3 linked regions of the Arabidopsis thaliana genome follow. The protein of the gene in region 1 interacts with the protein of each later gene in a pairwise test. Each region holds a gene or a part of one and is shown in the gene's direction. Other genes may lie near its edges.

What was found. The genes of interacting proteins can lie anywhere in the genome.
Region 2: the proteins of AT1G10585 (region 1) and RD26 interact in a two-hybrid assay, tested with the Arabidopsis thaliana proteins (one large-scale study listed by BioGRID).
Region 3: the proteins of AT1G10585 (region 1) and AT4G25160 interact in a two-hybrid assay, tested with the Arabidopsis thaliana proteins (one large-scale study listed by BioGRID).

Annotation. Positions count from the first base shown.
Region 1 is NC_003070.9:3,491,792-3,499,559, reverse strand, and holds AT1G10585 (basic helix-loop-helix (bHLH) DNA-binding superfamily protein), read left to right. Parts: upstream 1-4,315; 5' UTR 4,316-4,455; coding exon 4,456-4,593; intron 4,594-4,875; exon of another isoform or gene 4,876-4,904; coding exon of another isoform or gene 4,905-4,946; coding exon 4,947-5,264; intron 5,265-5,355; coding exon 5,356-5,445; 3' UTR 5,446-5,790; downstream 5,791-7,768. Other genes in the region: AT1G10586 (basic helix-loop-helix (bHLH) DNA-binding superfamily protein), read left to right, coding at 164-301, 1,905-2,222, 2,361-2,429; AT1G10580 (Transducin/WD40 repeat-like superfamily protein), read left to right, coding at 5,895-7,609.
Region 2 is NC_003075.7:13,705,527-13,712,696, reverse strand, and holds RD26 (NAC (No Apical Meristem) domain transcriptional regulator superfamily protein), read left to right. Parts: upstream 1-3,683; coding exon 3,684-3,892; exon of another isoform or gene 3,893-3,950; coding exon 3,951-4,242; intron 4,243-4,325; coding exon 4,326-4,769; 3' UTR 4,770-4,797; downstream 4,798-7,170. Other genes in the region: ABCG9 (ABC-2 type transporter family protein), read left to right, coding at 1-263; AT4G27415 (uncharacterized protein), read right to left, coding at 2,011-2,145; AT4G27400 (Late embryogenesis abundant (LEA) protein-like protein), read right to left, coding at 6,060-6,516, 6,647-6,983, 7,125-7,170. UniProt on the Arabidopsis thaliana protein: Transcription factors that bind specifically to the 5'-CATGTG-3' motif and with bipartite regions with 5'-CGTr-3' and 5'-YACG-3' as cores.
Region 3 is NC_003075.7:12,900,807-12,911,366, reverse strand, and holds AT4G25160 (U-box domain-containing protein kinase family protein), read left to right. Parts: upstream 1-3,770; 5' UTR 3,771-4,150; intron 4,151-4,664; 5' UTR 4,665-4,697; coding exon 4,698-4,896; intron 4,897-5,059; coding exon 5,060-5,181; intron 5,182-5,271; coding exon 5,272-5,393; intron 5,394-5,474; coding exon 5,475-5,653; intron 5,654-5,739; coding exon 5,740-6,155; intron 6,156-6,222; coding exon 6,223-6,324; intron 6,325-6,407; coding exon 6,408-6,836; intron 6,837-6,977; coding exon 6,978-7,736; intron 7,737-7,827; coding exon 7,828-8,007; 3' UTR 8,008-8,187; downstream 8,188-10,560. Other genes in the region: AT4G25170 (Uncharacterized conserved protein (UCP012943)), read right to left, coding at 1-252, 332-437, 527-770, 910-954, 1,218-1,627; AT4G25150 (HAD superfamily, subfamily IIIB acid phosphatase), read left to right, coding at 8,485-8,879, 9,075-9,284, 9,454-9,631; OLEO1 (oleosin 1), read right to left, coding at 10,108-10,276, 10,517-10,560. UniProt on the Arabidopsis thaliana protein: Functions as an E3 ubiquitin ligase.

The DNA of each region.
Region 1 (7,768 bases):
GCTCATGGACGCAACCAGAAAAGCCATGACTTTCTTTGAAAAACATCATTTTCATCTAAAATTACGCGGCTCTTTCTCTCTATCTCTTTATATTTATAGAGGGAGAGATGGATTTGGAAAGAGGGAATTAAACATAGTAACCTAAAAAAGGAAAAGAAGAAGAATGGAAAGAGCGAGAGAAATAGGAGAAGGAAGCGCATCGTCATTACGGGAACAACGAAACCTCAGAGAGAAAGAACGACGAATGCGCATGAAACATCTCTTCTCCATACTCTCTTCTCATGTTTCTCCCACTCGTAGGGTCCGTCTCTCTCTCTCTACATGTATTTTATTGTTTATATATACAGAGTACATAATTTTTCGTAGATGTAATGTATGTGTTGGTTTTGTCTAAGCGCCTAGACGCTTAGGCAAGGGCTATGTTGCGAAAATCCTATGGACATCTTGATTTTAACCAGATCAATCAAAGAACTGATCAAGGGATAATCATCTTGATTTGAACCAGATCAATCAAAGTGCAGCATTTAGCTAGGGTTCTCAGTATTTAGTACAAGCCAGCTAGGACCATTATATGTAGTGTAGAGTTAAAACAAATGATTCATATCTATATATACATTTTTGCAGTCATTTTAACAAATAAATCCTGGACTTAGAACTTATTTACGACTCAATGCCACTGAATTTATTTTTTTCAATCGACATTTTAAATCAAATATTTACCTAACAAAAATATTGCCTAAAATGTCTCTATATTAAATCCACCATTACTTCAAAAAAAGTCTAACATTACTTCAAAAAAATCATTCCTAAAATCTCTCTTAAGTATTTATTAATTTTCGGTTTTAATTTGCTGCAAAAAAAAAATCGGTTTTAATAGTACAAAATATTTTAAGGTAGAATTTTCTTTCCATATTTATTTAATATTTCGTTTTTACAGCATTTAATATTTTGTTTATAAATAACAAATTAATTATTTAGCATTCAAGAAACTTTTTTCTAATCTATCCTTTAATTATATTGACATTATTGATTGATTTTTAAAATATATAGAGATTCAAATCTTCCATATATGTTTATCATCTTCTAAGGAAATTAAACAATTATTTTCTGAATCTAAACTAAAATTTAGAAAACTAAATAAATAAATAAAATCGTTTTAATTATTTTCTAAGCTAAACTATATTACACTATGATCTTTAGTTTTGAATCATTCATTTTCATTGTAATATAAAGAATCAATCTCATATTTTCCGTGTTATACAAATAATCAATCTCATATTTTCAGTTAGTAAAATGTACATGTATTAAAACGTAACAAAATCATCGTTCTCAAAACTATTTCAAATATATTACAATCTCATATATCACGCAGATTTCTTCAAAATTTGAACTAAATGTCGGTAACTATTTATAACAAAAAATGTTTGGCAAACCAAAATACAATTGCAATCCCTTAAAATGAGCAAAACGCACTTAAATACATTTTTTTATCAATTCACTAAATCTTATTTCTCCAAAATTTAAACTAGATTTCGGCAACTATTTAAAACAAAAATTGTTTGACAAACTAAAGTACAATTGTAATCCCGTAAAATATTTATTTTAATTATATATTTAAATCAACGATGTACTGTAGTTTTTTTTTACGGGACGGGTTTGGCGGGACGGGTTTGAAAGGACATTACTTAATAACAGTTGTAAACTGTAAAATAAATATATTTTATAGATAGATATAATTTACGAACTTTTATATATACTAATTTAAAAAAACAATTGTTCCCGCGGTGTACCGCGGGTTAAAATCTAGTATATTACATTTTAGTTAATACATATAACGATTATAACCAAATTCATACAAAAGACATGGAAGTAACTAGGTTGTGTGTTTTTATTGGCACCAACAGTTGCCAGTGCCTCAACTTATAGATCAAGCGGTATCATACATGATCCAACTGAAAGAGAAGGTAAACTATTTGAATGAGATGAAAAGGAGAATGTTAGGAGGAGAAGTCAAAAATCGCTCTGAAGGGTCGTCTCTTCTGCCAAAACTCAGTATTCGTTCACTGGATTCGATCATAGAAATGAATCTGGTTATGGATCTAAACATGAAAGGAGTAATGTTACACAAGCTTGTGAGTGTTTTTGAAGAAGAAGGAGCTCAAGTGATGAGTGCTAATCTTCAGAACTTGAATGATAGGACCTTTTATACAATCATAGCCCAGGTACATGCATGTGTCATGTTTTTTTTTTTTTTTTTAGCAGCATCTCTTTGTTCCATATCATTAAAATATAGTTTGAACTTTTTTTGAAGGACTATATATATATGATAAATTAATAATCACCTAAATGAATATTTGCAGGCTATCATATGTCGGATCGGGATTGATCCATCAAGGATAGAAGAGAGATTAAGGGATATAATCTCATGATTAATTTTTTGAAGCATTATTGAATCCCAAATCACAAGTCTTTTCTTAACAAATTAAATGTGTTAGTTCTTTAAACATGAGATTATGAGTATTTTTAAGAGTGAATTGGTGTAATAGCCCTATTGTTGTTTAAGTTAAAGAGAATGATCAAATGTCTGAATACCATTTCCTCAAGTATATGAACGAAAAAGCCTCTCACATCATCTTCAAAATCTCTTTATTTTCTCTTTTCTTTCTATGCCTAATCTCTATTACGTTTATAGAATCTCATGTTTAAATATAAAATATATTATCTACTTTTATTGTCAAGAACTCTCAAATTTTCTTTCATTGAGCATTTTAAGCTCAAATATTTTATTACAGGCGCCGTCTAAAATAGTCGTAATTGATATTTGCATACATAGAATAGATAGATGTTATGCATCTGATGACTATCTTCAAAACATGTTCAAGGGCATAGGCATTTGGATCCACTTTTGGAGTTTTTCATATTGCGATAGCAAGGACATTCATCTTTGTTTTCTCCTAAAATCACACATGGTTAGATTTTGTATGTGAATATAGTTAACTAAAACTTAAAAAACATGTATATATACACGACATAACTAGTAAACAAATCTTTTTTTCTAAATGTCTTATATAAATTGGACAGTATATATAGATCGATAACAAAAATTTCGCTACAAATTTTCTAACTATAAGTAATCATCCTTTTCTAGCCACAGAATTAGTTACAAGTAATTATAGGCTTAACATTTTAAAATTGGGCTAATCTGTATTTCTAGTCACGGATTTTCAATGGCTATGAATTATGATAGTTACCAAATGACTATTCTCTTCTTGTACGAATTCAAATATTTGAAGAAGGAAAAAAAGAATAACATGTGGAAAATGCAATAAGGATATAATTGTCCCTTACTCAGTTTCTAAGCAAGTGGTCAAGCAGCGAGACGATATATACACAGTGTTAGTATCATATTGCGGCTCCTTTTACTTTTTATGTCAGTTTGCTCAGTGGCAAAGTTATGACCAACATCTACCTGGAGTACTCCAAGACTCAACAAAACTAGGCATGTTTAATTTTCTGTCTTTGTATTCACCTCCGGTGAACGTTTAGACGATCGGTCCATGTAGATCCCCTATCCGGTGAACGATGTCGGCCATACGGCCAAAGAGAGTTGAGGGCCTTTAATAATTTATGTAAGGAATGCCGAATGTGTTGTGTCCTTTTCTTCTATGATAATGATAGCTTGTTGAATAATCTTAGGTTATGGCGCCTTATGATACTTTCCTCGGATAATGAATACGTGCACCAAATTAATTGAACATGATGATACTATTTGATTTAGTGGTCCCGATTCTATCAGTATACAAAACAATTTTCCTTTTCTATTTGTTGATAGAAACATATATAGTACTGTTGTAAGGAATTCATTTTTGTCTACCGTGGCTGTTGACTATTTTACGCCATTGAAATGATTTTTGATAATAATTTTCTCCAAACCTACTGTAAATCACAGGACTTAAACTCATGGTTAGTAATCTGAAAGAAGAAGAATCATATCTCTGAACGTTAGGAATCTCATCTCACACGGTAAGCATGATGCTATCTAAACTATGTCTTTGAACGTTAGAAATCTTACATCGAAATTATGATGCGTCCTAGTAATGTGTCAACCCACCAACAAATCTAATTTTTTTTTTAATGATAAACAACATATCTAATTGTTTTGAAACTTTTGTATCTTTAAGAACGTGGAAATTCCGAAGTAAATAGTAAAATTTACTTGGTAGGAAAGATGCATGCATCTTATTAATTTAGTGTGTAAGCTCACGGACGCAATCACAAAAGCCATGACTTTCTTCCAAAACATCCCTTTCATCTAAATCACGTAGCTCTTTCTCTCAAAGTTGAGATTTGTGACTCTGTATCTCCCGGCCCTCTCTATCTCTTTAACTGTATATAAAGAGAGATGGATTTGAAAAGAGAAACTTGTACATAAAAGCTTAAAAGAAAACAAAAAGAATGGGGAGAGCAAGAGAAATAGGAGAAGGAAACTCATCGTCGTTAAGGGAACAACGAAACCTCAGAGAGAAGGATCGAAGGATGCGCATGAAACATCTCTTCTCTATACTTTCTTCTCATGTTTCTCCCACTCGCAAGGTCCGTTTTTTCTCTCTAACTCTCCCTCTCTCTCTTTCTCTCTCTATATATATCTTATATTAAATTGTAGATGTGTTTTATGCGTATATACAACAATACAAACATTATCTACATAATTACTGTAAGATGTACGTTTTATTCTAAAGAGATAATATTTTGATTAATTGAATAGGCAGTTGTCCCTCTATGACCGTCCATATTAGCTCTCTTTTAAGTACGGTGTCTAATTGACAAATAAATGATTCACGTAGCTAGGGTTTTTACGGTTTATTTATATATATTGAATATAACCACATTCATGTAAAAGATTAATGAAAGTAATTATCTTGGGGTTTTTTTTGGGATCTAAACAGTTACCAGTGCCTCACCTTATAGATCAAGCGACATCATACATGATCCAATTGAAAGAGAATGTAAATTATTTGAAAGAGAAGAAAAGGACATTGTTACAAGGAGAACTCGGGAATCTCTACGAAGGGTCGTTTCTTCTACCCAAACTCAGTATTCGTTCGCGGGATTCGACCATAGAAATGAATCTGATCATGGATCTAAACATGAAAAGAGTAATGTTACACGAGCTTGTGAGTATTTTTGAAGAAGAAGGAGCTCAAGTAATGAGTGCTAATCTTCAGAACTTGAATGATAGGACCACTTACACAATCATAGCCCAGGTACCACATCCACACGCATATGTTTGTATAATACACACGTATATGCATGTGTCATGTCTTTCGTATAAATTTTTATTACATATATTTGCAGGCTATCATTAGTCGGATTGGCATTGATCCATCAAGGATAGAAGAGAGAGTACGGAAAATCATCTATGGATATATATATTTTGAAGCATGAAATCCCAAATGATAAGTCTACGCTAACGCTAGTGTGTTTTTTCACACATGTGTTAGTTCTTTAAATATGAGATGAGTAATTGCTTTTGAGTTCGATTATGATAAATATGTTGACCGTCAACATAAGAAACCTTAAAACGTTGTCGTTTCGTTTTTATTCATCCCGGTTTAATTCAGTTTGGCTTGGCGTGATTTTAGATTGGTCCAGATTTGCATAATTTTAACCACCGAGTAAGACAGTGGGATGTAAATGTCAATAAAATACACTATTGGGGTAAATGTGAAAAGAAAAAAATAGTAAGAGGCTATATTTGAAAATCTAAATATCGCACAAATTGCAACCCTTATTTTAGATTTAGGAATTTTGAAACCCTTGTCGAAGAGAAAAGAGGCAAAATCTCAGTATAAAGTTTCTCAAACACTTGTGGTAAGAGAGCAAAATCGTGAGAGATGGATCTGATTCAATCCTACGAAGAAGAAGACGAAGCCGTTGCTTCCTCGCCGGAATCTTCACCGCCTCGTATGTTAAAGGCGAAATCATCGGCGCCGGAGGTAGACGATACGGCACTAGCTCTCACGGTGGCTAACGTGAATCAATCGAAATCGAAGCCGATTGACCCGACTCAACACGTCGTCTTTTATAACCCTACCCATGATCAGCTGTGGGCTCCGATGTTCGGCCCCGCGCATCCGTATGCGAAAGACGGGATCGCTCAAGGGATGCGGAATCATAAGCTAGGTTCTGTGGAAGATGCTTCGATTGGATCGTTTGGGTTTGAAGAGCAGTACCATACGTTTCATAAGTGCGGTTACGCGGCGGATCCGTCTGGGATGAACTACGTCGGCGATGTTGAGGCGTTTAAGAAGAACGATGGTCTTTCGGTTTTTAATATTCCTCAGAGTGAGCAGAAGCGGAGGAAGATTGAGAGGAGCAAAGAGGAGAGGGAAGGGGAAGAGAAAAAGGAAGAGATTGAGCCGGAAGCTGAGAATCCGGAGACGGAAGCTTGGCTTAGGAAGAATAGGAAGAGTCCGTGGTCGAGGAAGAAGGAGGTGGTTCAGGGAGAGTTGACGGAGGAGCAGAAGAAGTATGCGGAGGATCATGCCAAGAAGAAGGAGGAGAAGGGACAACAAGGTGAAACCAAAGGAGAGCATTATGCGGATAAGAGTACCTTCCATGGCAAAGAGGAGAAAGATTATCAAGGAAGGTCTTGGATTGAGGCTCCTAAAGATGCTAAGGCGAACAATGATCATTGCTACATTCCAAAACGTTTGGTTCATACATGGAGTGGGCACACGAAAGGTGTTTCCGCTATTAGGTTCTTCCCAAAGCAAGGACATTTGCTTCTCTCTGCAGGTATGGATTGTAAGGTTAAGATTTGGGATGTGTATAACTCTGGTAAATGTATGAGGACTTACATGGGTCACGCCAAAGCTGTGAGGGATATTTGCTTCTCCAATGATGGGTCTAAATTCTTGACTGCTGGGTATGATAAGAACATTAAGTATTGGGACACGGAAACTGGCCAAGTTATATCGACTTTCTCCACTGGGAAGATTCCGTATGTGGTTAAGCTGAATCCGGATGATGACAAGCAGAACATTTTGTTGGCTGGTATGAGTGATAAGAAGATTGTGCAGTGGGATATTAATACGGGGGAGGTTACGCAAGAGTATGATCAGCACTTGGGGGCAGTTAATACTATCACATTTGTGGACAATAACAGAAGATTTGTCACGTCGAGCGATGATAAGTCTCTCCGTGTTTGGGAATTTGGGATCCCGGTGGTTATCAAGTATATCAGTGAGCCTCATATGCATTCTATGCCTTCCATTTCTGTTCACCCGAATGGAAACTGGCTTGCTGCACAGAGTTTGGATAACCAGATTCTGATCTACAGTACCCGAGAAAGGTTTCAGCTGAATAAAAAGAAGAGGTTTGCAGGGCACATTGTTGCCGGTTATGCATGCCAAGTTAACTTCTCGCCAGATGGACGGTTTGTAATGTCAGGAGATGGTGAGGGTAAGTGCTGGTTTTGGGACTGGAAGAGCTGCAAAGTGTTTAGGACTCTTAAATGTCACAATGGAGTATGCATTGGAGCCGAGTGGCATCCTCTGGAACAGAGTAAAGTCGCAACTTGTGGTTGGGACGGCTTGATTAAGTACTGGTATGTAACCTTCTTCCAGACTATTTTGTTTATTTGTTTCTCTTGTCATGATGTGTGGTGTGTGCCTTTACGTAACAGCTGCATAATAGTTATTATTGGTATATATAATTGTAGCAAAGCTAAAGTTGTCATCTGAGTATCCTTGCATGTAACATGTGT
Region 2 (7,170 bases), on another chromosome or scaffold:
TGTTCATCTCTTGGATTAAATACGTATCAATCGGTTACTATACATATAAACTACTGATATTGGGTCAGTACACGGCGAATGAGTTGTATCCATGTGGCGATAATGGGAAATTGAGGTGTCATGTTGGTGACTTTGAAGGTATCAAGCATATAGGGTTTAATAGTGGATTAGTCTCTGCCTTAGCTTTAACTGCGATGCTTGTTGTTTATAGAGTTATAGCTTATATCGCTTTGACGAGGATTGGTAAGACCAAATCTGGCTGATTACTTAGTTATAATCTCCACTTTTTATTTGTTTTTGATTTTAGAACTTTTTTGAGTAATTAAGAACGAATGTATAACAGCAATAAGTTCTTATTGCATTATTGTTTTTTGTTAAATCAATTATAGTTTGAGAGATTGATTTGGTCCGGCTGAAGTGGTCCAAGTTATATCAGAATCTAAGTAGTATAATGTGAAGAACATGTTCTGTGTGTGTATAAAAGGAAAGTTCAAAGCCAAATTCATGTTTGCTTATTGGTATGCGCTCCCAGTCCAACACACTTTACACGTTATCATTCCAGTCTTCATTAATTCGTACATCTAAAGACATTTTTAGCTCACGCGGTTTTATCTGATCACTTTTAAAAAGTCATATTCTGATATAAACCAAAAACCAAATGAAGAAATTGTATTCGAGCTGCTGACGAATTTGTGGTGCATATATAGTAAACGTACTATGGTCTATGGGCTTCCAAGCCTCCTATCCAAATGATATGATCACATAACCCATTATTTGAGATTACTTCAAGCAATAAGTGGTGTTAGGGGAACAATGATTTAACTTGGTTTCCAGACAATACCCTAAAAAATTCAGCCAATTTTTTTTGTAGTTTCTTGCAAAGTAACGTTTTTATGTGTTATAAATAAAATTAAAGAACAAAAAAAACAAGACATCAAGCGTTTGAGAAAACATAAAACTCTAATTTACATAAATGAGATAATAAAATTATTTTAATTTTTCTGTTTAAAGAAAATTAGGAAGAGGACTTAAAAAGTTAATTAATTAGTCGCTGGTACCCATTGCGGCCTTCTTAGTTTCTCATTTTATTTTTAATATATAAACCAGCTGATTGTTTTGTATGTTGTACGCTATTCATCATATATACGAACAAAATAATTATTCAACAATTTCAGAAAACAATTGCAGCTACAGATCGCTATTTTACACTTAGAATTGTCTTCTTAATTAATAACCATTTTCCAATTTATGTTTTTAAGTTCATTTAAAACTATATATATATATATATATATATATATATATATATATATATATATATGTTGAAGTTTGTCATTTTTGGAAGAATTGTGTTGAAGTGGGAACTATTTAAACATTTCATTGGTAAAAAAGGGTCTAAGAATCATCGATCTCTATATAGATTAGGTGCTACCATCTACAAAATTTTAGAAGAGTCTAAAATTCAGAATGGAATAGTCATCACTAAATCAATTATGAGTGTCGAATTAATTATGTAGTCCAGATTTTGCTTATCTACTATAAGTATTGTCGAATTAATTATGTACAAATGTAGAGTGCATATATAGACTATGCATTTAGAAAGCATAATGCCTTTTGTTTTTGTTTTCTCTCTTTTTCTTTTTGGTAAACCTTCGTGATCACCTTATCTCTTTTAAAGCTTTAACCAACATGTAACTTGGCAGAGAAAAACATACTTTAGAAAAGACCATATATAATATACGTTTAGAACTCATTAAATAGAAGTCTACCTATTTATTCTCTAAACAAATATTAAAATGATTTAAACGTCACCAACGATATTTATCGCAAAAGTGGTAAATTTCTGTCAATTAAAATGTATTTTTGAAAAAAAAGTAGAAAAATGTTATTAAAATAAAATAAATTCATTGAAGAATTTTTTGAACAAGTTTAGATTATGGCAATCTGTTCTTTACCTCATTGTCATCAAAACCATATCTCTTAATTTATTTTTTTGTCAGGATCATAAGAGCATTATACGCTAATTGAATAGCGATTGATGAGTTTCTTATCAACACATTTTGCAGTTATGCGAATCGTTGAACCAAACTTGTCGTATCTTTGCTGATATTCAGAAATTATTATCTTACAAAAGAAATGGGTGGGCATGTCCATCTCTCTGTGAACAAGAATTCTCCACGTTCACTAAAATCTAAAAATCCGAAAAGCAATTGAAAACGATTTGTAGAGAATAATAATAATTAAGAACAAAAAAAAAAGAATTATCAAGAAGAAGAAGAATCGAGTTCTTTGAATCGCGTCACATGTTTATATATAAAAAGGCTTCTCTGACCTGTTCAGCATGGTCCAAATATTCACTTGTCAACTTCTTAGGCCATTTCTAGTATTTCTTGAGTGAACGAAACCCTAATTAACCTCTTTTTGTTTAAATATAAACTAAAATATATGAAATAAGTCTTTTATGAGATAATCATTGAAATATATATAAAAATCGAATTTAGTTGTTCTGACAAAACTTGAAATTTATCCTTTAATCAAAAACAAAGAGACTACTTGCTACATTTGTGAGATAATCTTAATGGTATAATACAAACGATCATATATTCTCAAATGTTATTATCTTTAACTAAAAAATATTAAAATCATACTATTAGTGTTCTGTATATACGTGTCTTATGTTAACGTATCTTTTCAATTTATTTTAGTTAGAACTTTGTAGTTTGTACACTTGTTCAATATTTTCTGCTGTTTTTATTATTACTTTTTCTTCTTTTTTGTCTCTTTTGATTCTTTTATATTGAAGTCTTGCCTAACTCTCCCAACACGTGTACAATTCACACGGACGGGAAAATGCATTCCACGCGTGTCTGATTAATACTCTTTTGTTCATAAAAACGTCTTAGTGCCATTTGTTTTACTCAATAGATTTATCTGTCAAATAGTTAGTGCTTCTTCTTTTCTTTTTCTGACTCCAATCTATGTAGTGATCGAGTGCTTCAGGACAAACTAAATATCGAACTGGCCTCTAATTATTTGGAGCATTTTGATACACATCGTTGTTAGGCTTTTGATCAAAATTCTAGAAGAAAGGACAACTGGCTTAACACGTGTCGATAAACTTTAGCTTTTCCTGACGGTTCATGCACCCGAACGGCACCAATATAGTCGAATATAGAAATAATAAAGCTTCATTGCTTTCTCAGTGGAAAAAAACTTACTATAATTAGAATATTTCTAGTAAATATTTAGACATTTTACATGTCACGATGGAATAAGAAAAAATAAATTACTGCAATCACTCAGCGGACTTTTCTCATAATCGTAGTACACAAATTTCTTACTCATGAGAAAATTTTCCTCGTGTTTTTTGCACATTTATATCGCTGGAAAATATTGTACAACACATCGATAAGGTCGGCCAGTTCATAGACGTGGCAGTATCTAAATGGTTAAACGGGTCCACAAAGAAAATCGTAATTAGATTTTAGAACAGTAAGACAAGGACGACCGTACTTATCCTTGAAGAACCTTTGGCTTTTCCGTAGCCTATATAAACCAACTACTTACTATATTGTCCAAAAGATCGACGAACATAAAAACAAAAACATATAATTTGGGTTTTTAGAGTTCGAAACTTGAAATCTTTTTTTTTTTGGTTGCTGAGGAATCGAAGTAGAAGAGTATAAATGGGTGTTAGAGAGAAAGATCCGTTAGCCCAGTTGAGTTTGCCACCAGGTTTTAGATTTTATCCGACAGATGAAGAGCTTCTTGTTCAGTATCTATGTCGGAAAGTTGCAGGCTATCATTTCTCTCTCCAGGTCATCGGAGACATCGATCTCTACAAGTTCGATCCTTGGGATTTGCCAAGTAAGCAAACATGTTTCACATTTGTAGGGTGTTATTTTCAATTGTCATACTTTTGGGTTTAATTTGAGAAAATGTTAAAACTAAAGGGAGTATAATTGTAACTATTTAGGTAAGGCTTTGTTTGGAGAGAAGGAATGGTATTTCTTTAGCCCAAGAGATCGGAAATATCCGAACGGGTCAAGACCCAATAGAGTAGCCGGGTCGGGTTATTGGAAAGCAACGGGTACTGACAAAATTATCACGGCGGATGGTCGTCGTGTCGGGATTAAAAAAGCTCTGGTCTTTTACGCCGGAAAAGCTCCCAAAGGCACTAAAACCAACTGGATTATGCACGAGTATCGCTTAATAGAACATTCTCGTAGCCATGGAAGCTCCAAGGTAAATAAAGACTGAAACTTTCCCAGATCCAAATTCGTTAAAATTGAAATCAAAATCTGATAAAGTTTGCTTCTTTGTTACAGTTGGATGATTGGGTGTTGTGTCGAATTTACAAGAAAACATCTGGATCTCAGAGACAAGCTGTTACTCCTGTTCAAGCTTGTCGTGAAGAGCATAGCACGAATGGGTCGTCATCGTCTTCTTCATCACAGCTTGACGACGTTCTTGATTCGTTCCCGGAGATAAAAGACCAGTCTTTTAATCTTCCTCGGATGAATTCGCTCAGGACGATTCTTAACGGGAACTTTGATTGGGCTAGCTTGGCAGGTCTTAATCCAATTCCAGAGCTAGCTCCGACCAATGGATTACCGAGTTACGGTGGTTACGATGCGTTTCGAGCGGCGGAAGGTGAGGCGGAGAGTGGGCATGTGAATCGGCAGCAGAACTCGAGCGGGTTGACTCAGAGTTTCGGGTACAGCTCGAGTGGGTTTGGTGTTTCGGGTCAAACATTCGAGTTTAGGCAATGAGAGAGATGTGAAGTTACTGATGGGTGAAAAAAGTAAAAAAAAAACTTGGAGATAGTAGAGTGGCAATTGATGTAAATAATAGGGATTTATATGGGGCTTTTACCGATTCGGTGAGGCTTAGGATTCCACAAAGGAAAAAGGCTCGACTGGGGACTAGTTTGATCCAACTTGACGGCCCACAAATGTGTAATGTTTCTCAACGGAGAGAAAAATAAATGGTTACCAATATTTTTACACCGGTTATGTGTTGATACCATTTGCACAAAACGGTTTAAGTTCTGAATTGAATAACTTAACACCCAAAATTTGGTAAAAAGCTTAATACAAAAAGTTCAAAGGCATTTTCGCTTACTGCGACACTCGGAGTTGCAGAGTACTCTACGTAACAGACTCTGTTCATAGAGTTTGCGGCACCGGTGGTGGGACATTCTTGCGGACACAGTATGTACTTTTGGAAGCATCGTTCCTAAGGGTTGCTGCAGTAAACTCCTTGTGACTTGGCTCGCAAGAAACATAACATGGCCGCAAGAAAAAACAGCATTAACGAAGAGGTGTTTGAGATCTTCATGTCTAGTTTATTCTTCCTGTTTTATTATGTGTCGACTGGTGTCAAAAGAAACGTGTTGATTGTGAATTTGTAGACGCCACTCTGTAAATTTATTTAAAATAAACTATTTTACTTCACGTTGAGATCGGGAGTTGCCGGGTTTGTGTGCCTTATCTGGGCATCACCCACACATGCATTAAGTTGAAATGTATATGACTTTAAAAACTTGAAACTTCAAAAATAAAGAAAAAGTCTTTAGAAGTTACGTCCACACGAGCGTGATCCACACTTATCGGTCCTTATATTAGGAGCATTGTAACTTGCTGCAATAAGCTGCTCATTTTATTAATTTGACTTTTGGAAATCTTAAAACAACAAAAGTACATTGTATATATTAATAGCCGGATCCAAGAGTGTGATGCTTAACATCTTTTGATGTCTTAATTAAGTTGGGTTTTGAAGTCAGTGTTCAAATAGAAGATAACCTTTTTATCAATTTACGCTAGGCTCTAAATGATTACTGCGTATTTGGAGCACAACAAAAATATAATGGTTTTCTTAAGGATTAGATAATCTGGTACATGTAAATAACTGAGTTACAATTACTTTCTTTAGAATTTGGTTCTTAATTACCTTATTCCTCTGTTTTATTTTGACAAACATATAAATTTTATACGTACACAAAACATAACAATATACTTTTAATATCTGTAATTCTTAGCAAACTGAGTTTGTATTGGTAACTACTTTCTGCAGACGAGTCCATAGCCGGAAGACGCACCACGGCTGCAATCTAACAATGCGTATGTACTTTTGGGCTTGACAGAGCCACTCGCAACGGCGGGATCTTCAGAGAACAAACAAGTTTTGCAAACATGAGAGAGCAGAGAAGATGTCCTAAAGCTATCTTCACCTCCCACCACTGGCATTACGACTCCTGGTTTAGCCGGATTCTTAAAATCGGGTCTATAAGTGCGTCCCAAGATTCCATCGACTTTTGGGGACAGATTAATAAACTTGAACTGGACCTCAAAATGGGCAAAACAGTCATCTACAGGTAATTTGTAGTTGTGGATTCTATCATCTTCTTTGGTCACTGGAACCACGTTGACCATGATCTCAGCTTTGTCTTTGATAGTCACGATCACACTGTTCTTCTCTGTCAACCTTTCAATCTTGATGTCTTTGTCGGATGAGTACCTGATAATATGCATTAAAATAATGAGTGTTTACATGAAAATCTAAACGAATAGACAAAGATGACGTTTAAAAGTTGAAACAATCGCAACCTACAAAAATGATAGGGTAAAATTTGAGTTTCTATGATTACCAAGTGGATAAAGTTTCTTGAGGGATAATTAAATCTTGGCCGTCGATAGTGAACTTGAGGTGATCAAGGTTGCTGTCCCAAGTGGCGACTTTGGTGGTCTCAAGGGAGAATTTGTGGGAGTTAAAGAGGAAGCCGAGAGCTTGGATCCATGTAAAGTCTCTAGTGCGGCCAGCAGGTCTATGACCAGTGAACCTAGCATTGATCTGAAAGTCAGGGTCCGAGACAATGCTAAAATGTTCATTGCTCTTTCCATGGAAGTAGAACACAATTCCATCACCACCTATGAACCTCGGATCTAGACAAATTGATCCATAGGATTCGCAGTTGGGTTTTACCGCTACAAAAGATCATATCCAAATCTTAAAACATATTTTCAAAATCTAAAATTAATCAAAATGATGAAATTCTATTAATTCTAATTTTAAACTGCATTGGTATATCATCAATTACAAAAAGAAATTGGTGGTTAAATAATTACCCCGACACACGGCCTCGCAAAGGGGTTTAAAGCAATCAACCCAACA
Region 3 (10,560 bases), on another chromosome or scaffold:
TCACGACCAGCATAACGATGATGGATAGCAGGACCGAAGTGGTCAGCTTTTCCTCGAGCCAATTGTTGAATTTGGCATCTTTCCCCTTGTTGTTAACACCATCACCATTGTAACAATTGAAGAGCTCGGTCACGACCTTTGTTATTTTCACAAACACTTCCGTGGCCTTAACCATTGTGTTGTCAAATACCCACTTTATGAAATCCGTTGCTGCGTTATTCTCCCTAGGGGTGTCTTCTGAATTTTCCTCATCTGTAATACAAAAACTGAGTCCCCTGAGAAGTCTGTCAAATGAAATGTTTAGATTGATCAATTCATTATCTCTTTATACCTTGACTTATGCCATTGTTGTACAAGTCCCTAATCTCTCGCACCACATCGTTGTTCATCACCGCCTCCCAAACTGCTTTGTCAGACGACAATGATACTACCATTTTCTGCATTAAAATGTGAAAAAGCCCTTTCTTCATGTACCAAAAAGTAAACATGAGCTTAGTGTAATCAAGAAAACAAAAGAAAGTATCACCTGGACAGATGGTTCGGTTCGTAGTAGGTCAAAAGCATTGTAAACCTGATCATAAGCATGAGGCTTTAACGTTCTTGAATGGCATAAATGCATTGATGGCTCCATCCAGTCCGAATCCGACCCGAATGAAGGAACTTGATGAACCATCCCTGTGGCTATAGGGCTCTGGTTTCCACCACCATTTTCCGGATAGCACTCGTATTTGTCTCTAACCAGCTGGGAATATGAACTAGCATCGAAAACCCTTCAAGAAAATAAAACAAAACCGTTACTCCAACACGTAAACAGAACACAAATATTTCGAAATCCATAAGATAACAAAGACCAATTACTATTATGAATAAACCAGCAAACAACTTTTGAAAGTATTTTAAGTACAAAACAACTGAGTGGGGTCACGGAGACACAGCTGAAAGAGTTTCAAACTTCTTCAAGATCATCAAATCAAGACAATTCCATCCATATCAGGAAAGAAAACAATTAAACTTTGAGACACTATAGCAGTCCATAACAATTCTCGTGTCTCTCTCTATTACTTAGACAACTCGTGGGAACTAATACCTACCACTCAAAAGTGATCAATTTATGAGATTTTATGACAATAATTTCCACAAGACTCAAACTCAAATAGTCACATCCAAAGAATCACACATTTTCAAGTGAAATGAGAAAAGAGAAGAAATTAGATTACTGCTGGAGAGCAGAAACAGCATCTTGGACTTCATCAACAGAAGGAACAGAGCCAAACAGAGAATCATCTTCTTCCTCAGAAACCCACTCAAAATCATCATAACCTCCAGAATTAACAAAGGAAAAAGGACCGCCGCCGCTCCATCCGGAGGTTGCAGCCACCGGAAGATTCAACAACAACCCAGAAGCCGCGGAATACGTCAGATTATTCGACCCAGAAGAAGAAGATCTCTGTTTCTGGACATGCGAAACAGAGGCGTTTCCAGCCGGAGACGACGTGGACGATGATGATGAAGAAGCAAAGGGATCTTGAATACCACCGTTGGCTACACCGGTCCTCGTCATCGCACGACCGGCGGCGCGTAACATACCTCCGCCGCCACCCATAGGCCCTCTTCCTCCACCAAACATAGAGAGATCACTATCAAATTGTTTTTACTTACACGACAGGTTGCGTATGTTTACTCGGTGAGTTTGTCTTTTGGTCCGATGCTATTTCGTAGGCTTTTTACTTGAAGCAGTTTTGATTGAATCGAGGAAGTGGATAAATGCGAAATGTCTTTTATAGATTTTCAGGAATATATGACTTTCTTTACTTTGCTTTGGTCCTTCTTCTCCACGACACGCTTATCCGTTTACTCTGTTTTCTTTTTTTCCATTAAATGCATTAAAATACTACTCCACTGTTGTTATAATAATAATTGTTTCAATACTGGATTATATATCCCAAATTTATTTGGTACGTCAGCATATGAGTTTCCAAAAACGAAATAAAAACATAATAAAAAAAAAAGAGACTATGCTTTATTATAACTAAAGGTGTACATAGATCAAATCATAAAATTTCATATTCAATTTGGATAATTTGGATGTGGTTAAAAACCTAAAAGTCTAAAACCAGTACGTAATAGTAGTTTTCTTTTTTTCCGTGTAACATATGTATGGGTTTATATAAACCAAAACATATTTGTAGGTCTTTTTCATTTTGAGTTTCGGTAGCGTTTTCAATTGGATTTTATTTGAATTTTAATCCAAAATAATGGATTTTTATCATAGTTAGACAAAAATTTCACGGAATTTATGGGTAAATAGTTTTTCTTTTGTTCGTGAATGTCAACGAACATAGGCATTTTTAGTGTGGTCAAACTATGTTTAAGTTGATGTGTGTATGTATCTGACAGGTAAGTCTGTTGTTTTGCAAACATGTTTTCAATATCATTCTTTACCAAAAAATGATATTTTCATATTACAAAGCAGATTATTTTAGAGTAACTTTGTAAACTATTCAAAACAAATGTGTACACAAAGGTTACTTTTGCATTTAAACCTTTATGTAATTAATAAATCAAGTCATTTCAGCCATTAATAAATTAAGATATTTGTATCTAATTCAACATTGTAAATTATCATATTTAAAAGTTCTTCCACTATCAAATTTCATCATCGCCATATAATTAGAGTTTCTACACTCGATCATGTATTAAAAGAAGATCTTGACCACACACACAACAAAAGAAACAAATTGTAAGAAAATACCCATTTGCAAATTTCCTATTAATAAGTTATAAATAAATTATATGTCATTTGCTATTTACTAATGTCATTTATCCAGTTTTCATTGGACAAACTCTGCCTTTTTCGTCCATTTTTTTCTTAAAAAAAGATGGCCATTCATAGTAAAAAGAATATTATGTAGTGCAACACAATATTGATATATATTCTTATATTTTTGACAGAATTTGTTCTTTAGTTTTTGCATCAAACAAAACGAGAATGGAGAAAATAATCATTGATATATTGACCTGAACACTAGTCGTTTACATTCAGAATACACAATAGTAATACGAATACTAGACTCAAGAGCATGAAAACTCCAAAACCAATTTGAAAGTGGGAAGACATTTCGTACGGAAAAAAGGAGAATCAACATAAGAAAATAATAATAGATTTTAAGTTTATAGAGATATTAGATAATTGAAATTTGAAAATAATGTGTCCTGATCGAATATTTCATGATGAATGACTACAGGGGATGAAGATTTTAGCGTCGAGACAAGACAAGTTTAAAATTCGAGTTTTTTCCACCTTTTATCATCAATCATCAAGGAACAATGACATGCCAATTCGTTTTCCATAAGTAACTTTTAATGTTTTTAGCTTCTATAGATACTTTGAATGCTTTTATTCTAAAAGGTCTTTGTTGACAAGGTCAAAGAGCCTAATCGAATCCTCTTGATCAGCCAGAGAGTTTTGCCTTCGTCTTTGGATTTTGCCAAAATTGGTTACTTAATCAGCCAGAGGTTAAAACTCGTAAACCGGCGTTTAAATTGAACCGGCCAAATCACGGTTCAAATGCGAACCAATGTTGTAGGTGAACTCTACCAAAGTCTTGTACCACTCCACTATGCATAAAGGGGAGGAGACAAAAAGACGTGAGGAAGACATAGATCATGCGTGCAACTATGGCCAAACTCGATATAATAATGGCGTTGAGGAATGTAGTTAAATACCAAATAATTAGGGAATTAAGAGATAAACTATGATTAAACTAATAGTCAAGGCCTAAGGTTGGAGAAAACTTCTTTCTTTTAGAACACACTCTCCTTCTGTCACTCTGATAATGAAGAAAATTCAGGCGAGAGAACAAAAGAGTATATACCCAGGACTGATCCTCCTTTGACCATTAACATGACCAACTTGTCTCATTTTCTTATTATTTTTGATGCTTCTTTTCAAATCTTTTTTAGATTCTCTGGTTATAAGAACCCATTGTTTGTATCTGAGATTAGCAGCACCAACGTGGGTCTTCATCTTCTTCTTCTGCTGCTCTCTTTATTTTCTGAAATTGATTGCTCTGTGAAATGGAAGCTTCCACCATTTCTTCTCTCAATTTTTGTATTGGGTTTGACTAAAGTCGCATCCTTTATTTACCAGGTAGGTTCAATTTCTGGTTTTCTTGTTTAACTCTATGCCCTGAAGATGGTCCCTTTGATTGACTTGATCAATGTTTCATAACCTTTCGAATTCTCTGCAATTGCATTGTGCTCAAAGTTGACATTTTTATTGGAAAGTTTGAGTTTTTTTTTTTATCTTTATAAGAAGCTAGCTATTTGTTAGCTTCGATGGTCGTTGAGTGTTGTTGCTTTACGATCCTTTTGGTCGTCCAAATTAGACTCTGAGACATTTGACTTTCAACGCTATTAAGAGTATCTCATGATCGGTATACCTCCGTTAGATTCTGTCAATACTTATTATTATTTGCCTTTTCGGTTTGATGAGTTGATATTCAACATTCAGCTATGTGAGTTCAAATATAATTACTGTCTGTTGATTCCCACTGACTGGAGAGTTTTAGCTTTCCCTTTCTTTCATGTTATCTCTACTTTAGGAACAAAACACTCTTTTTAGAACATTGTTTTGCAGTGTCTGAAATGGTTGTAGTGTGCAGGGTCAATAGAAACAAGAACACAAAAGATTAACAATGAGTAGATCACCAGACAAGCTTGCTCTTCCTCCTCCTCCTCCTCCTCCCCCATCTCGTACCGTCGTTGTGGCTCTAAGTGGGAGCAGTAAAAGCAAATATGTAGTTACATGGGCGATCGAAAAATTTGCTACTGAAGGAAATGTTGGCTTCAAGCTGCTTCACATCCATCCAATGATTACTTCTGTACCTACACCAAGTAAAGTTCCAACTATGCCTTGTATTTCTGTTTCTTTCTTTCTTGTACTCAGGACTTCTTCCTGTGTTTCCCTTTTTTCTATTTGGTATTGTTGTGTAAAACAAAATCAAGACTTATTGTAACTGATAAAAAGCCTGATGTACATTTCTTGCTCCTTCTCAAGTGGGAAATGCAATCCCGATTTCCGAGGTACGAGATGATGTAGTAACTGCATATAGACAGGAAATACTGTGGCAGTCTGAAGAAATGCTTAAACCTTACACAAAACTGTTCGTGCGGAGAAAGGTATTTTCTTTGGTATAATGAGATATCTTACGCTCTTCTTTAATGAAAATTTCAAGGTTACATGAACTCATTGAATTACCTTAATGAAAGGTTGCAGTAGAAGTTCTTGTGATCGAATCAGATAATGTGGCAGCCGCAATAGCTGAAGAAGTGACTCGGGATTCAATAGACAGAATTGTCATTGGAGGCTCATCCCGTAGTTTTTTCTCAAGGTACACTACCACCCTGCTGCTAGCTTTCGACCTTTGTTCTTTCTATTCCGTGTACCAATGAATCTGTTTTGAAAATTCCAGGAAAGCTGATATTTGCTCGGTGATATCAGCTTTGATGCCAAACTTTTGTACAGTCTATGTTGTTTCAAAAGGTAAATTGTCATGCGTCCGACCATCAGACTCAGACGGAAATGCTACTATAAGAGAAGATGGTAGTGAGAGAACAAATTCTTCAAGCGGTTCTTCTGGTCCCACCTCAGGTCCATGACTCATCAATGTATTTGTGTGAATACTCTACTAGAAATGGTGTGTATATCTAATTCTGTTACCCCATTTTCTCTTCTAGATTCATCAGATGTAATGTCAAGTGCGCATGACTCTCAATCTCGTCCTCTATCCCTTCCGGTCAGGAGAATGCAACATTTCCCTGCAATTGCAGGACAGGCATCAGTTCCAATGGAAACGAGTTCTGTTGGCTCGGATGAAACCAGGTGCATGTCTTTGGATGCAGAGGAAGCTAGAGATGTTTCAAGTATCAATAGAAGCAGCACAGATACTACATCACGTTGGACTCCTCGGCGTAGAGATTATGAGGAGAGAAAAGAAGCTATGAGTTCTTCTTCGAGCAACCGTGAATACGGGAATTTTGGTACTAGGTTTAGTTGGAGTGGCATGGGTGTCGATACTACACACTCTCGGGCTTCTCAACAAGCTTCCAACATGTCTGATGCTCTAAGTGAACAATCCTATACAGACAACCAGGTATAAAATGGAGTTTTAATTTCGACATTGTCTTGTGAATCGGAATAATATAAGATTATTTGTTCAGGTAAACCTAAACTTTGAGGTTGAGAAGTTGAGAGCTGAGCTTAGACACGTTCAAGAAATGTATGCTGTGGCTCAAACCGAAACCTTTGATGCTTCTCGAAAGGTGAAGGCCTCATAATATCATATATCTTTGCATTTGATGAAACTTATTAAATTGTGCTCAATGCTTTTCTGAAAATGTTTCAGCTTGGTGAACTTAACCAACGTCGGTTAGAAGAAGCCATAAAGCTTGAAGAGCTAAAGCTGAAGGAGTATGAAGCTCGAGAGTTAGCAGAAAAGGAAAAGCAGAATTTTGAGAAGGCAAGGAGAGATGCAGAGAGCATGAGAGAAAGAGCAGAGAGAGAAATTGCGCAGAGAAGAGAAGCCGAAAGGAAATCCGCACGTGATACTAAAGAGAAAGAGAAGCTCGAGGGCACTCTCGGGTCTCCTCAGCTGCAATATCAGCACTTTGCTTGGGAAGAAATTATGGCTGCCACTTCATCATTCTCAGAAGAACTGAAGATCGGAATGGGAGCTTACGGAGCTGTTTACAAGTGTAATCTGCATCATACAACTGCAGTTGTCAAAGTTTTGCAGTCAGCTGAAAATCAACTTTCCAAACAATTCCAACAAGAGGTATGGAAGTGAGCTCAAATTTGGTTTAAGGAACTTTGTTTGAGATTTTGTGCCTTTCACTATATGGAAGTTTTCTGATTTTAATTTCAATTCTTGTGGATAAGAGTCTACATTTATCTCACTGGCCTCTCTAATTTGCAGCTCGAAATCTTGAGCAAGATTAGGCATCCACATTTGGTTCTCCTTCTAGGAGCGTGCCCGGAGCAAGGTGCTTTAGTTTATGAGTACATGGAAAACGGTAGCTTGGAGGACAGACTTTTCCAGGTCAACAACAGTCCGCCACTCCCGTGGTTTGAGCGGTTTAGGATTGCTTGGGAAGTTGCAGCGGCTCTTGTCTTCCTCCACAAATCAAAGCCTAAACCAATCATTCACCGTGATCTTAAACCTGCAAACATCTTACTTGATCACAACTTTGTCAGCAAAGTTGGAGACGTGGGACTCTCAACGATGGTTCAAGTCGATCCTCTATCAACTAAATTCACTATATACAAACAAACAAGCCCCGTGGGAACGTTATGCTATATTGATCCGGAATATCAGCGCACTGGAAGGATATCATCGAAATCAGATATCTACTCCTTTGGAATGATTCTTCTTCAGCTTCTCACAGCAAAACCTGCTATTGCATTGACACATTTCGTTGAGAGCGCAATGGATAGTAATGATGAGTTCCTTAAGATCTTAGATCAGAAAGCCGGTAACTGGCCGATTGAAGAAACCCGGGAATTGGCCGCATTAGCTTTGTGTTGTACAGAGCTACGCGGGAAAGATAGACCTGATTTGAAAGATCAGATTCTTCCAGCGCTCGAAAACCTAAAGAAAGTAGCTGAAAAGGCAAGGAACTCATTTTCCGGCGTATCGACACAGCCTCCCACTCATTTCATCTGCCCATTACTTAAGGTAAACTCTATATAAAACCTTGTTCAATGTTGAAACATCTCATCTCAGTGTGTTGTGGTGAAAATGTGTGAGCTTGTGTGGTATAATGCAGGACGTGATGAACGAGCCGTGCGTTGCAGCAGACGGATACACATACGACCGTCATGCGATAGAGGAGTGGCTTAAGGAGCACAACACATCGCCGATGACGGATTCACCGTTGCATAGCAAGAACCTTTTACCCAATTATACTCTTTACACAGCCATCATGGAATGGAGGTCTACACGATAGTAGTAAGCCAAACTGTGTAGCGTTTTTGTGGATATATAAACGGCAAGACGTTTTGCTTTGTACTACTACTACACACATGCTGAATCAAAAATATAAACCGAAACGAAACCTTAATCATCTTGTAAACGAATATTCGGATCCATCCGTTAATTTGCCTCCAAATAAGAACACAAAACCATTGCCCTTTATTTTTCATTTTGGTATTTTGGTCTTTTTTGTCTCTCTTCCTTTCCATTGCCCAAAAAGAAACAGAAACTTTTCTCCGAGAATCCTCATTTCTCCGTTGAAAAAAGGACCTTGAGAGGAAATGTTTCACTGTTTCTAGGGTTCTTATAATCCACTTCCTCATCATTAGAGAATGGAAAATCTCCTCTTCTCTTTGATATTTCTTCGGATTTCGCTTATGTCCTGAATCTCTTGAAGACCCAATTGAAAAAATCTCAACTTTTTTTCTCCCGGCGTTTCCGGCGATATACAATGCGGATTCTCGTGAATCTCATTCTCTTCTCCTTGATTCCTCTGGCGTTCTCCAATGAAAACTCCAGCTCGTATCTCATTGCGCGACCATTGATCTTCGAAACCCAGCTCAAGAACATAAACGACAATGTCAATCTACATTGCACGAGCTGGAGATTCGCGGCGGAGACAAACAATCTCGCTCCATGGAAAACCATTCCAGCTGAATGCGCCGATTACGTGAAAGATTACCTGATGGGTGAAGGTTACGTCGTCGATGTGGAGAGAGTCTCCGAAGAAGCTAAGGTTTACGCGAGCAGCTTCGAATCTAACGGTGACGGGAAAGACATTTGGATTTTCGATATTGATGAGACGTTATTGTCGAATCTTCCTTATTACATGGAACACGGTTGTGGGTAATTTATCTTAAATCTTTCATTTTACAACATTGCTATAAAAAGTTGGTTCCTTGATAATTGTATAGATGGATTTGTCTTTTTACTATGTCGAATTAGTTAAGATTTGAGGTATGTGTTGTTGTCTGTCTTTTTCTTTGCTTGTTTGTCTATGTATGATAAATGTGAATGTTTGTTCTGTTTGGGAATTTGCAGGTTGGAAGTTTTTGATCATTCAAAGTTTGATATGTGGGTAGAGAAAGGGATAGCACCTGCTATAGCACCAAGCTTGAAGCTTTACCAAAAGGTTATACATTTGGGGTACAAAGTTATCTTGCTTACAGGGCGTAGAGAGAACCACCGGGTTATCACTGTCGAAAACCTGCGCAATGCCGGTTTCCATAACTGGGACAAGCTTATTCTGAGGTATGCATACTCTACTTTTGGACCTCCATTACAATGTAGCTCATACAGTTTTTAACCAACTATTGATCTGGATCCATGGTTGTGGTAACATGACGTTGTTTGATCTTGGATTGTAATCTTGGGTTTGAATGGATGATTGACGCTTTGGTTTGCTGCTTAATGTTAATAGATCGTTGGATGATCGGAACAAAACAGCGACCATGTACAAGTCAGAGAAGAGAGAGGAGATGGTGAAAGAAGGGTATAGGATCAGAGGCAATTCAGGTGACCAATGGAGTGATTTGTTGGGTTCTGCAATGTCAGAAAGATCCTTCAAACTTCCAAATCCAATGTATTATATCCCCTGAAGGGGATCAACTAGAATCAGGAGGCAATTCAGGTTACTAAATGGAGCAACCTACTGTTTTTGAAGTTTGGGTTGCCATGTAATCACTTGCAATAAATATATGTACTAATGACTGCATCGGCTTGCGTGTCTAAATTTGTAGCTTATTGAAAACTTTTTGTGGTTAAAGACGAATCCAGTTAACTAACATAAGTTTAACAAAACAAGACCTTTTCCATATATAGACCACCGTTACCAACTTACAAAGAAGCCAAATAAAGTACAACACAACACTTGCAAGTTACAAAAAGAGAGGAAAAAAAACATGGTACCATTTGACAACATATAGAAACACACATAAACATTACTTATAACAAAAAGATTCAAACTCGGCTTTTATTATCTCCCCCTGATCAAATTCTAAACACTTTATTCCTCATAAACTAACTCCCCGACATTGGAGTTATTGGACTATGACGATGACATCAGTGGGGTAACTTAAGTAGTGTGCTGGCCACCACGAGTACGGTCACGGTCATGTTCCCCACCAGTATGTTGCTGTCCGTAGTACTGAGCTCTGTCTTTCAGATCCTGAGCTTTGCTTCCCAACTTCATCCTTGCACTGTCCAACTTGTCTGATCCCTGTGGGTGCTCTCCCGTTGCGTACCTATTCACAATCAATAGGTATCATACCAAGCATTTTACCTATATAGATGATATACACAGACACATTCAAGCTAGCTAGGTCAAATTTCGTATTTAGTTAACCAAATGTTCCCTAGAATTTGCAATTTCTTATTGTTACATTTGTTATTCGACCAAAAAAATTGATCCAAAGCTACTGGCTCAACACATGCATGCACATATTGCACAAAATTATGAAGTAAGATGATAAATGTGTGCTTACTTGTAAATCCAAGAGAAAACGGTTATAGCGGCAATGCCAAACCC